Schizosaccharomyces pombe: one gene and its partners. Changing the gene in region 1 together with any one later gene gives a genetic interaction. Each region holds a gene or a part of one and is shown on either strand. Other genes may lie near its edges. The genes, in order: atg8, lys3 and arg1.

The links.
Region 2: mutations in atg8 (region 1) and lys3 impair growth when combined (synthetic growth defect), as found in Schizosaccharomyces pombe (one study listed by BioGRID).
Region 3: mutations in atg8 (region 1) and arg1 impair growth when combined (synthetic growth defect), as found in Schizosaccharomyces pombe (one study listed by BioGRID).

What each region holds. Positions count from the first base shown.
Region 1 is NC_003423.3:3,683,720-3,687,246, forward strand, and holds atg8 (autophagy-associated protein Atg8), read right to left. Parts: upstream 1,652-3,527; 5' UTR 1,547-1,651; coding exon 1,513-1,546; exon of another isoform or gene 1,432-1,512; coding exon 1,376-1,431; exon of another isoform or gene 1,210-1,375; coding exon 934-1,209; 3' UTR 562-933; downstream 1-561. Other genes in the region: rnf10 (ubiquitin-protein ligase E3), read left to right, coding at 1-363; cyclophilin family peptidyl-prolyl cis-trans isomerase Cyp4, read left to right, coding at 2,182-2,644, 2,738-2,880; SPOM_SPBP8B7.26 (uncharacterized protein), read left to right, coding at 3,405-3,489. UniProt on the Schizosaccharomyces pombe protein: Ubiquitin-like modifier involved in autophagosome formation. With atg4, mediates the delivery of the autophagosomes to the vacuole via the microtubule cytoskeleton.
Region 2 is NC_003424.3:528,537-532,602, forward strand, and holds lys3 (saccharopine dehydrogenase Lys3), read left to right. Parts: upstream 1-1,742; 5' UTR 1,743-1,985; coding exon 1,986-3,092; 3' UTR 3,093-3,445; downstream 3,446-4,066. Other genes in the region: GINS complex subunit Psf3, read right to left, coding at 31-89, 137-235; SPOM_SPAC227.17C (uncharacterized protein), read right to left, coding at 1,265-1,630; NLI-interacting factor-like phosphatase Psr1, read right to left, coding at 3,896-4,066. UniProt on the Schizosaccharomyces pombe protein: Catalyzes the NAD(+)-dependent cleavage of saccharopine to L-lysine and 2-oxoglutarate, the final step in the alpha-aminoadipate (AAA) pathway for lysin biosynthesis.
Region 3 is NC_003421.2:1,612,544-1,616,875, reverse strand, and holds arg1 (acetylornithine aminotransferase), read left to right. Parts: upstream 1-1,939; 5' UTR 1,940-1,978; coding exon 1,979-2,050; exon of another isoform or gene 2,051-2,078; intron 2,079-2,298; coding exon 2,299-3,552; 3' UTR 3,553-3,829; downstream 3,830-4,332. Other genes in the region: protein Gta3, read right to left, coding at 1-213; NEDD8-conjugating enzyme Ubc12, read left to right, coding at 758-848, 915-1,010, 1,093-1,181, 1,293-1,440, 1,688-1,797; Protor homolog, Bit61, read left to right, coding at 4,312-4,332.

The DNA of each region.
Region 1 (3,527 bases):
CGACAACGGGCTGAACGTGATACAGAGGAACAGATATACTCCGAGTTAAATATGCAGAGACCTGTGCCAAAAACCGTAGTGCATGAGGACCCTGCTGAAGCATTCCCCACATTGGGAAGTCATCATCAATTTGAATCTACCGATGAGGTTAATACAGATGAGTCTACCTTATCTACTGCAAAGACTGTTTGGGGAACAAGAGCTCTTGCCAATATTCAAAATGACACCGATGATCAAGACGATCTTGATGGTTGGAAAGTTGACTGGGACAAAGTTGCTCAATTATCTGCACCTTCCAAAAACTCAAAAAACAAAAAAAAGAAGAAATTAGTTTTATTATCAACAGGTGCCGCCCATCGATAAAGATGGAGCATTCTCAGTGATGAAATGCTACTGAAATTTTTGAAATGCAGGAGTGGGCTTTATTTTGAAATATAGTTATAACACTTGTTGCTTGAATTATGAAAGTTTACGATTGACCAATTTTTTGGGGCATGTGAATAGTATTCGCTATTATGACAACCAGTTAATGTAAAAAAGGATAGAATCAGCTGATGATATATATCTACTTATTATTTATCAACATTTTAATATTATTAGAAAATCAAAATCAATTTTTTTAATTGATGGTTTTTATTAATTAACAAGGTAAAATAACTTTGTTGTCAAAGCAAACTAGTCATAAGCGTTCATCACATCTATTGTAAGACAAATCTGAAACATCCTTAAAATCGTGGTGGCTAACCTGAGAATGATATGTATAAGACGCGCGTAAAATAATCATAATGCAAAAGCAAAGAAACTTGAAAGCTAAAAAGCTAGAAATGCAGAGTAAAAAAAACATAAAGAATCATTCAACCATTGTCCACAAACAATTTTGCTGATCACAATTAAAAGAAGGCGGGGCCATCTTAAAACAGGCAAATTGTTGATCTAAAAAGGAAACACTGTTCCAAATGTATTTTCTCCTGAATACGTGATATACAAAAAGCCGTCCTCACTTTTATGCTCTTCGTATATCGTTGACATCAAGGCCGCTGTCGGGGGCAAGATTTCATCAATGAAAATAAAGATGGCCTTCTCAGGAGAAAGTTTTATCCGTTTGCGAATAACATATACAAATTGACCAACTGTAAGGTCAGATGGAACGAGATATTTCTTTTTATCTATTGCAGCAATATCAGATTTATCAACTTTCTCGCAAATAACCTGTTAAGTTAGCAGTTAAGTTTAAAACGTAATTTGTATTTTTGAAAGAAAAAGGTCAGACTTGTAACAATGGATTCACTTTTGATGACAAAAACAATGGGTGTTGTTCAATTCACCACTATTTTGCTCTGAAACCTGTTCTCTTTGACCACCAGACTCTACTTACAGGTATTCGATCGGGATATTTTTCCCGGATTCTTTGAGACTCTGTTTTTCGTTTCTCTGATTATTAATTAGCCTACTAGTTCCAGGTATTCTACAATGCTGTCCAAAAAACAACTTCTATAAGTTTTTGACACATACCAAAAGAAAAGTCGTCCTTGAATTGAGAACGCATGAGAACTCTCAAACTTCTTGCTTGAAGTAGTAACTCCTCTCTTCAATTGCTTCAAAATTCGGTGTTCTTTGTAAACGGTGCGTGAGTTATGTGGTATACGGTCTTGGATAAATAAGCGTACCCTTGGGTAACGTATACAGAGATATGAAGCAATCTTATGATACTATGATAAGTTACCTTATTTCGTAATAAATAAATACTTTACGAATCTTAAGCAGTACACAATCAAAAGGAATTTTTACTACTTCTTTATAGTATGATAGCCATAATTGGTATATACTCAATCCTTGGTACAACAAAAGTCACAACTCTTTTAGGAAGAAAAGCAAGAATGGAAATAAAGACGTTGTGTAAATAAATAATAGCACGCTTAACACGTAAATACCTTCCAAAAAAGGTTAGGAAATAGAATTTTGCAAATAATTACTATTTCTATCTTTCATTAAATAATCAAACCATTAGAAAAATAGTAGTGTTTGATGTAAACAAATAAGCGCTTCTTGAATTATTTGCTTAACATTGTGCTAAAAGTTGCTACAGCAACCAAAATCTAGCGAGTCTTGCTATTAAACCCCACCATAACTATTTATTTATCCTTTACCACACAACGAAGCTTTTAGTTTGTGAAAACAAAAATGAAGTTGTTCTATTTCTCTTTACTTTTTACTCTTTTCTTTGGGCTTATCTCTGCCAACCGTGGCCCCAAAGTTACAGACACAGTGTATTTCGACTTGCAACAAGGTGATGAGTTCCTTGGAAGAGTTACCATTGGATTGTTTGGTAAAACTGTTCCCAAAACAGCCGAAAATTTCCGCGCATTAGCCACCGGAGAAAAGGGATTTGGATATGAAGGATCTATTTTCCATCGCGTTATTCCCAATTTCATGATTCAAGGTGGTGATATTACGAAGGGTGATGGTACTGGTGGAAAATCAATTTATGGCAGCCGTTTTCCTGATGAAAACTTTAAGCTTTCTCACCAACGTCCCGGTTTGCTTAGCATGGCTAACGCTGGACCCGATTCCAATGGATCTCAGTTTTTCATTACTACAGTTAAAACACCTTGGTTAGATGGACACCATGTTGTTTTTGGTGAAGGTAAGAATTCATATTGTAGTTGTATATGTTTTATAAAAGTGACTATTTGTTTTCTTTTTCCTTTTTTTTGTTTGCTAATACTAATTTTATCAGTCCTTTCTGGTTACGATATTGTCAAGAAAATTTCCAAAGCTGAGACTGACAACCGTGATAAGCCTCTTGAAGATGTAAAAATTATCAAATCTGGGCAGTTGTCTCAAGAAAATGTTGAAGATGACGGAACAGATGAATTGTAATCCCTACTTTCTATTTATGAAAGTCATCAACATCTAGTGTTTATAAGATTTACTTGAAAAGCAATGATTTTACATTCTGTTAACATAAACGTTTATCATTGGAAGGATCACTTCTTGTGGTAGTTTGTTTGCATTTTCTGACAGCCATAGTTGTATAACTAATATACGCATAAAGAATGCGATTTTAACAAGTTTTCAATTGAATGAATATAGAACTCTACGTATATTATCCAATTTAGCAAGCGTAATAGCAATGCTGCAATTCTGATAGTAAGTATTGACAACAAACGCGAAGCTTATTAGCTGCTTACTATTTTGTTATGTTTTATCAAAAAGAACTCAAAGACATTATTTTTTCCTATCAGCTGGCTGATATTACTAGCACGTTGTGTAGTTGTTTACCCTATGGGCTCTTAGAAAAGCGGACTTAAGGAATTTCGAGAGTCGGAAGCTGTCCACCGCAAACATTTGGGTAAAATCGGTTTTTGCGTCAATTGTGAGAAATCAATTTCAAACTAATCGTAATGTTTGACTCAACAAAAAAATCACTGCATTCGATGTCGGATTCTGCGAACCGCTTCCAGAATAAGATTACATCGAAATTACCAGGTAAGCATATTTCCTTTGCTTTTTGAGACATTACTAAC
Region 2 (4,066 bases), on another chromosome or scaffold:
AAACCAAAAAAAAAAAAAAACTTTACTTACTTAATTGCTAAAACCTCTGCCAGCCAAAAAGGAAGTTCAACTTTAGAGCCCGTAGGAACCTAAACTGTTTAGAAAGTCAAGTTCTATTTTTATAAACTTCACTAACCATACGCCCTTCATGGCCTAGTCCTGGAATGGAAACTGTACTAGTACATGGAACCTTTTGATTTTCAGACAAGATACTATCAATATCATAGTAATCCATTTTTTTAATGTCTGAGCAGAAGGAATGATAGAAGTGTTATTGTTATTTTATCAAAATATGTTCATTTAGAAAAGTTGCAGTTACAAGGTAAAAGTAGGTAGATGCAACGATAAATTCAAATTTGAGTTGGCTAAGATATAGTGGATAAATAATGAACTGTAATTACACCAGTACTAATCAACAAAAAAAATAGAGATAAAAAAGATTTATTTTTACTTTTCTTAACAGAGCATCTAGTTCAAAAAATTAGTGCTGATAAATATTGTATGTTCGAGTACTAAAAATTTGCTTCAATGTTTAACTCGAAAAGTATGTCATACATGTGTATATTCGTCCTTCTGAAATTGGTCGAAAAATTTTATTAAAAAAAGGAAACTTTGTTCTATAGTTTCATTAAAGAAACGCATATGCTTGTTTGAATGTTATACCTATTTATGAAACTTGCTCATTATGCGATCAAAATTTACACAATCTTTCCGTAAAACTGATTTTTTTAAATGATTTTTAGTCCGTAATCTACAAAACATGATTGCATTGTATTCAAAATTATTTTGCGTATTAATTATTTAGTATGTCATTTCCAAATGCAAAAAGGTTTTAACACCGACATAGGCCAAATTTCATAAGTTATTCGCCAAGTTTCATCAACAGGTTCATCAAGTCATATACGCTTTAATCCATACTTTAGATGTCAACACCTTCGAGTTTATCAGCAATCTTTACCTGAGTAAATAATCAACCTGCTGCCAAACAATGTTGTAAAATCAAAGCAACAATTTGTTGTTCGTTTAATTAGTTACTCATAAAATTAAAGAGAACTCAGAGTTTACTTGGAAGGTAAATTAAATAGAAGTACCCCGCCAACTATAAACAATTAGTTTCAAAGGTTAAGCAGACTAGGATATACAGGAACTTTACATCCAAGACATCATCAAATATGCTATTCCCCCAATGTTATACGCAACAAATGGATGCCTTCGTAAGAATTGATATCGACGTTTGGTGAACACAGCACGAAACGTTAAAAACTTATTCACTACTTTTTGGAGAAGTACGCATCTTCCAAATGTCTTCACTATTCGGCCCTTGCCTAAACTTCATCCACTGCTGAAGACGCCGCTTACGAAGCCCTTCTTGAGCCTCTTCGTGAGCCTTCGACTTGGTTGACAGACACCATTTAAAGTCTTTAAAATTTCCCTTACATCTGTTGTATTCACCATAACGATAGTAATGATTCATTTGTGAGAACACTGTTAAACACATGGCCATTTGGTCAAAGTAATACTGTAAACTACACGGATCCTCAGGAATCCCTTTTTTCAAGTCGAGTATTTTATCTAGTTCCGCATACTGACCAAAAGTGCTTTTTTCATCATTTTCTTTAAAATTATTCATTATTTAAAAGCATACTAGTAAAAATCAAGTGAATTGTGCCTAGGATAGGTAGCTAACGTGACTGCCACTGAACCTGTGTAGCGTATTAGATCCATCAAGATCCCTTCTGCTCATATCATTGCTGATCTGTAAATTGACCGCATCAAATTTGATCTCATTTATATCGAGATTGATCTATATTATTTTGCCAATTTGCAGTATATAAACTTATTTGATTAAGTTTTTGGTCTCCTTCGCCACGTCTTCATTTTGTTAGTTTAAATTTTTTTGACTAACTTAGAAAGGGAAGTTTTTAAAAACGTTGAAATACTTTTTCGATTTAAAAATATATATTTAATTAATTTTCTGTTCCAAAATGGTTGCTCCTCATCTTTGGTTACGTGCTGAAACCAAACCTTTAGAAGAGCGCAGTGCTTTGACTCCTAGAACTGCCAAGATACTCGCCGATGCTGGATTTCAAATTACCATTGAGCGCTCTTCCCAACGTGCTTTCAAGGACAAAGAATTTGAGCGCCTTGGTTTCCCCATGGTTCCTGAGGGCTCATGGCGACATGCACCTAAGGACGCGTACATTATTGGTCTCAAAGAGCTTCCGGAAAATGATAACAGTCCTTTGAAGCATACTCATATTCAATTTGCTCATTGCTACAAAAACCAGGAAGGTTGGCGTGAAGTCTTGTCCCGATTCCCCGCTGGCAATGGTCTTCTATATGATTTGGAATTTTTGCAAGATGACAATGGCAGACGTGTTGCCGCTTTTGGTTACCACGCTGGTTTTGCTGGATCAGCTATCTCATGTTTAGTTTGGGCACATCAATTATTGCATCCTAACAAACAATTCCCTGCTATCCGTCCGTTCCCCAACGAAAAATCTTTGGTTCGCCATGTTGCTCGTCAAGTACGTTTAGCTTTGAAAAAGAATAACAACCAGTATCCTCGTATTCTGGTTATTGGGGCTCTTGGTCGTTGTGGTACTGGAGCGTGCGATTTAGCATCAAAGATTGGTATTCCCTTCGATAACATTCTTCGCTGGGACATTAATGAAACTAAGAAGGGTGGTCCCTTTACCGAAATTACGGAATCAGACATATTTGTTAACTGCATTTATCTGAGCATGCCTATTCCCAAATTCTGTACCGTCGAGTCGTTAAATGTACCTAACCGTAAATTGCGTGTTGTTTGTGATGTTAGCTGTGACACTACCAATCCTAACAATCCTATTCCAATTTATAATGTAAACACTACATTTGATCATCCTACAGTTGAGGTTAAAGGTGTCACAACTCCTCCTCCTTTAGAGGTCATTTCTATTGATCATCTTCCTACTTTATTGCCAAGGGAATCTTCCGAAGCATTTAGTGAAGCTCTAATTCCTAGTCTTTTGGCTTTGAAGGACGTCGACAATGCTCCCGTTTGGGTCAGAGCTAAAAAACTTTATGAAACCATGGTTCAAAAGCTTTAAAATAAATGTTATTTAATTTCAAAGTTCCGGGTCCTTTATATTGTTTCACCAAATTATTGAATATTATTTTCTCAAAAATTAACTTTAGAATACAATTTAGACGGCATTTTCGATGCTCTGGACATTTTTTCCACGTACTTGTTAAATTGTAGCGGTGTTGCATAATACTACCTTTTGATTTGTTATTCACGTTACAATATATATTTGACTAATTTAAATATGATAATATACACATTTCTCTGCAAACCTCCTTTATACTTTTCGCCGGTCATTGATTAATAATTAAGAAACAGGATTTCATCCTGCATTTGCCACTTACCTATATGGTAAATATAAATCTTGAAACTTTCCCCAATATTTATTGCTTGCCTTACGAAGTTAAATTATAGGCACAGACATCTTTGGCATTGGAAAGATTTAGTAACAATCATAATGTAGCACTTCTTAAAAAATCTAATTTTAGAACAAAAAGGCTTAAAAAAGAATGGTTCCGCTCTTTTAAAAAATAGTAAAATGTACAATAGCAAGGTTTTCGTAGGTCGACGGACATAACAAGGGGAAAGAGAAATAAAGCATGTAAACGTCAATAAAACATCTTTGATTCTGGATCAATCATATGCCAAATGAAGAAAAATAGCATTTATAACAACATGAAACCATATTTGAGACCTTTTAACGATGAAAATTTATTAAATAAAAGATAAAAAAGAAAGAAACCGTTCAAGTTCAATGAAAATTTCGTCGTGAAGTAGAAACCAAGATAATGGAAAGGCTTCGCAAAGCCACAAATTTTCCAATAGTCATTATAACTGAAGATTAAGGACAGTACTAACATCTGGAACACGAGCAAGATGTTCAAGAAATGGAATTAAATCGATTAATTCCATATCGTGCATATCGTTGAACCATGAAGATATTGGAACAGCATGCGAAGGATGAAATATGTAACTTGAAGGTGAATTGTCTATTATTAT
Region 3 (4,332 bases), on another chromosome or scaffold:
AATGAAGGATGTATCAAGTCTCTCAATTGCATGCATTTGAATGATTCCTTCGTTGAGTTTTAGAATTGTTCTTTCATTCTCTTCCTTAGAGTCTGCTTCACGAAGACCAACGAGCCTCAGCAAATGACCATACTCAGTTAAGCCAATTGGTTTGGGTGGATTTCCTTGGAGAATTCGTTTAAGTGAAACCTTTGAAGGTTTCAAAAATGGCATAGTGAAAAGGAAAATAGAGCTAATTACAAGAGAAAAATATAGTACAGGTTAAAAAAAAGATTCAATCTTAAACACTTTGTAAGTTTTTCAAATGCTTTGAAACAGCTGTCGAAGTTGTAGTCGGTTCCTACAATTTAACGACTAGGTTGTAAGTCTGGGTTTTTTTAGAATTAATAGTAAAGGAATATATTAAATCATTCGGTAAGTAAAGTCAATATAATCAGCTTCTCTAATTAGGAGAACTATTTTTCATTACTATGATAACCGTTTCCCATTCCCTAAATTTACGACATCCTGCGATGTCTGTATATAACTTTACATAGCAGTGTTCCAGTACGTAATATTGTTGAATGCTTGCGTAGAGTAACGACTTTATTAAAATTGGTTATTGCAATTGAATAAGGTAATATAAAATGCCACATTATTAGCACTTTAGGTGTCTACATGTTTCGCTATTTTTTAATGATGTATGAGAGTATTGTTTATACCCAAAATTGTAAGCGCATTTTCCATCCTTCTGCCTATTACAAGAATCGCGTAAATCATGAGAAAAATTTGGGAATTAAAAAAGAAAGAAGCTCAAAAAGAGAAAAATGCGTCAGGGATTAGTCCAGCACAAATCCGAATCCAAAAAGGTGCGACTCATCATGTTGATAACTTTTCGCGATTTACTCGAAACTAACCATTTTCGATGAATTTAGACGTTACAGATTTAGAAATCCCATCTACGATGTCTACAAGCTGGCCAGATCCTATAAAATTGAACGTGCTACATTTAGAAATCCGGCCTGACGAAGGTAAGTTTGTGATTCCGCATGAAAGAATATTTGGTGTAGACTTTTTGAGACTATTATTTTTTATTTTGATTAACATGAAAAGGGTATTACAAGGGTGGGAAATTTAAATTTCGAATCCAAATCGACGATAATTATCCTCATGATCCTCCTAAGGTTAAATGTCTAAACAAAGTATGTCAGTCATGCTCTAAATTAGAGTTGCAGCTTATGGTATATTTTTTGCATTTAAGAAAATAACCATTATAACATGTTTTGAACCCTTTCGTTCTGACCTACTGTTAGATCTATCACCCAAATATCGATATTGAGGGAAACGTATGCCTCAATATTCTGCGTCAGGATTGGAATCCAGTGTTGAATTTGAATTCTATTTTGGTTGGATTGCAATTTTTATTCTTGTCACCAAACGCAGAAGATCCACTCAACAAAGGTAGGTTAATTACAATTTTTTGGGGGGCAATGAACTATTTCTTGTTATTGCATTACAAGGAAATGATTATTCATCTCTTAACTATCATTTGATACTCATTTTTTCTACGATCCTTTATTATGGGATTTATAAGGTTCTTTACTGAGGACAATGATTATGATAAGCAATTTTAATATAAGAAATCTGGTTTGCTCCTTAACAAATTTTCTAGATTTATTTAACTATACTAACAAACGATATCTTTTAGAGGCGGCGGCTGATTTGCATAAAGACCCTCAAGGATTTGCATCTCGTGTGCGTACAGCCATGAAAGGTGGTCTTGTGAATGGAATTTCTTTTGACAATGTCATGGCTTAATTTTTCATCAATCTAAATCAATTCGATAAAGATAACCGACATAGATTAGACGACTGTCATGAAAATATTGATGTGTTTTAAATCTCGCTAAATCAGTCACGATTACGATGAACTTCCGATATCAGTATAAAAACACATAACCAGAACCAAACCCCCCTAATAAGCCCGTAACTGCTTTACAATGTTTCAAAGACGATCACTTCTCTCTGTTCGTTCGTCTGGTTCCCAAATCGCCTTTCGTCGATTTGTCAGCGTAAGTACAAGTTTGTTGATAGAGTATGCATTGTAAGTGCAACTGAACATACGATGGCAAATAATTAGACTATCATCTAATTCTGATTGTTTTCGAGAATTCTGTACTTTGCTCTTGTTTTTAGACAAGTATTGATGTTGAGAATGCTTCTTACTGACCCAACAAAATAAATCTTCATTTGTGCTTTCATACTGCCTCATACAGTACTAATTTTAATATTTCTTAAACTGCTTATTAACCAAGTTTAGCTTACCCACAAAGATCCAACTCCTGATACAACCAGTTGCAATATTATCAAGAAGGAAGGGGCGAATATTATATCAGTTTATGCACGCTATCCAGTCGTAGCTGCTAAAGGTGAGGGCTCCTATTTGTTTGACAAGGAAGGTCGTAAATACATTGACTTCACCTCTGGCGTAGCTGTTACATCTTTGGGTCATGCTCATCCTGAAGTTGCTAGACTTGCCGCTGATCAATGCTCCAAATTAGTCCATAGTAGCAACCTTTTCTACAACGAGCCTGCCATTGAGCTATCTAATGTCATTAATAATTCTTTGGCAAAAAATAGCGGTATTGCTGGCCCCACAAAAATTTTCTTTGCCAATTGTGGTACTGAGGCCAATGAGACAGCCTTGAAGTTCGCTCGTAAGGCAGCGTTTGAGAAGTATGGAGAAGGGAAGAGTCAAATTGTTTACTTTAATAACTCTTTCCACGGCCGTTCTTTGGGATCTCTTAGTATCACTGCGAACCCCAAATATAAACGTGGTTTCCAACCATTACTTCCTGATGTCGTCCAAGCCGTCTATAATGACCCTGCATCCATAGAGCAATTTGTCAATGACAAAACTGCGGCTGTTATTGTCGAGCCCGTTCAAGGTGAAGGTGGTATTTGTCCTGCCAAGCCTGAATTTTTGATTGCTTTGCGCAAGGCCTGTGATAAGGTTGGTGCTTCTTTAATCTATGATGAAATTCAATGCGGACTTGGTCGCAGCGGTGATCTTTGGGCCCATAGTATCGTTAAGGATGTCGCTAGTCCCGATATTATCACAGTTGCCAAACCTTTGGCTAATGGTCTACCTATCGGCGCCACCATTGTCTCCAGTAAGATCGCTGCTGAAATTCACCCTGGTGAACATGGCAGTACTTTCGGAGGTAATCCTGTTGCTTGCCGTGTAGGCACATTCTGTGTTAATGAATTAGGGTCATCCAAGATTCTACAAAACGTTAGAAAGCAACACAAGGCTCTTACTTCACGTTTTGATGACTTTGTTGCCAAATACCCTAATCTTATTCGTGGATATGCTGGTCGTGGTCTTCTTCTTGGTTTGCAATTTACCGAGCCCCCTGCTAAATTTATTGAGCTTGCTCGTCAACAAGGTCTTTTACTCTTACCAGGTGGAAACAACAACACCCGTGTCCTTCCTAGTTTGAATGTTAAAGATGAGGTTATTGCTAAGGGTTTGGATATCATGGAGAGCACTTTGAAGGCTTTAAGTAAGTAAAAGTGTATGTTTTCGTAGACTTGGTCATTGAATGGATTGGTTATATAGTGCGATAAAAAGTGATTATTACGAGAAATCTTGTTCCTCGAAAACATATATTAACCTTGCTCTCATTTGCCAACCAAAAAATTTTTTGATAGGGGGGTTACGAAAAGCTTAGCTGGAAGCTTTACATTGTAAATACTGGTTTTCGTTATTCCCTTTCTTTTCATAATCAATTTTGTTTACATTTTTTGTTAGAAAATTAGATATATATTGTTGTTTTTCATCTACTAAACTGAATTGTCGTAATATGTACCGTAAATACTCTGTCAAATGATAGTAATTCACAAAATCAATGTTTTTTTACTGCGTTTTCTATTACTAACTTTTAAAAAGTTATATAGCAAATAACATTCCATGTTTTCTTTTAGCATTAACTATTTTTTTCTTTGGCATACAATTATTATATCAACATGCTATTCATTCAATTCACATTAGAACGATATCGTTATAAGGAATTCTTAATCAATTTTTCGTTTCTATATTTTATCTTAATTTAAGGCGCACATCGATACTTTAGCAAAATACCACCATATTCAAAAATAAACAAAATTTTTTATCTTTCTAAAAAATATCATTTTTTTAAGTAAGTTTAATCATTTTATAATGATTGAACAATGAATATCATCTCATGCTTATTTTGAAGAATCGCATTTCGCGTAACTAAAAGCAAATTTCTTGGATACCCTCAGTACATTTCCAAAAATATTACTAAAGATGGTAGGGAGGGGATCTTTT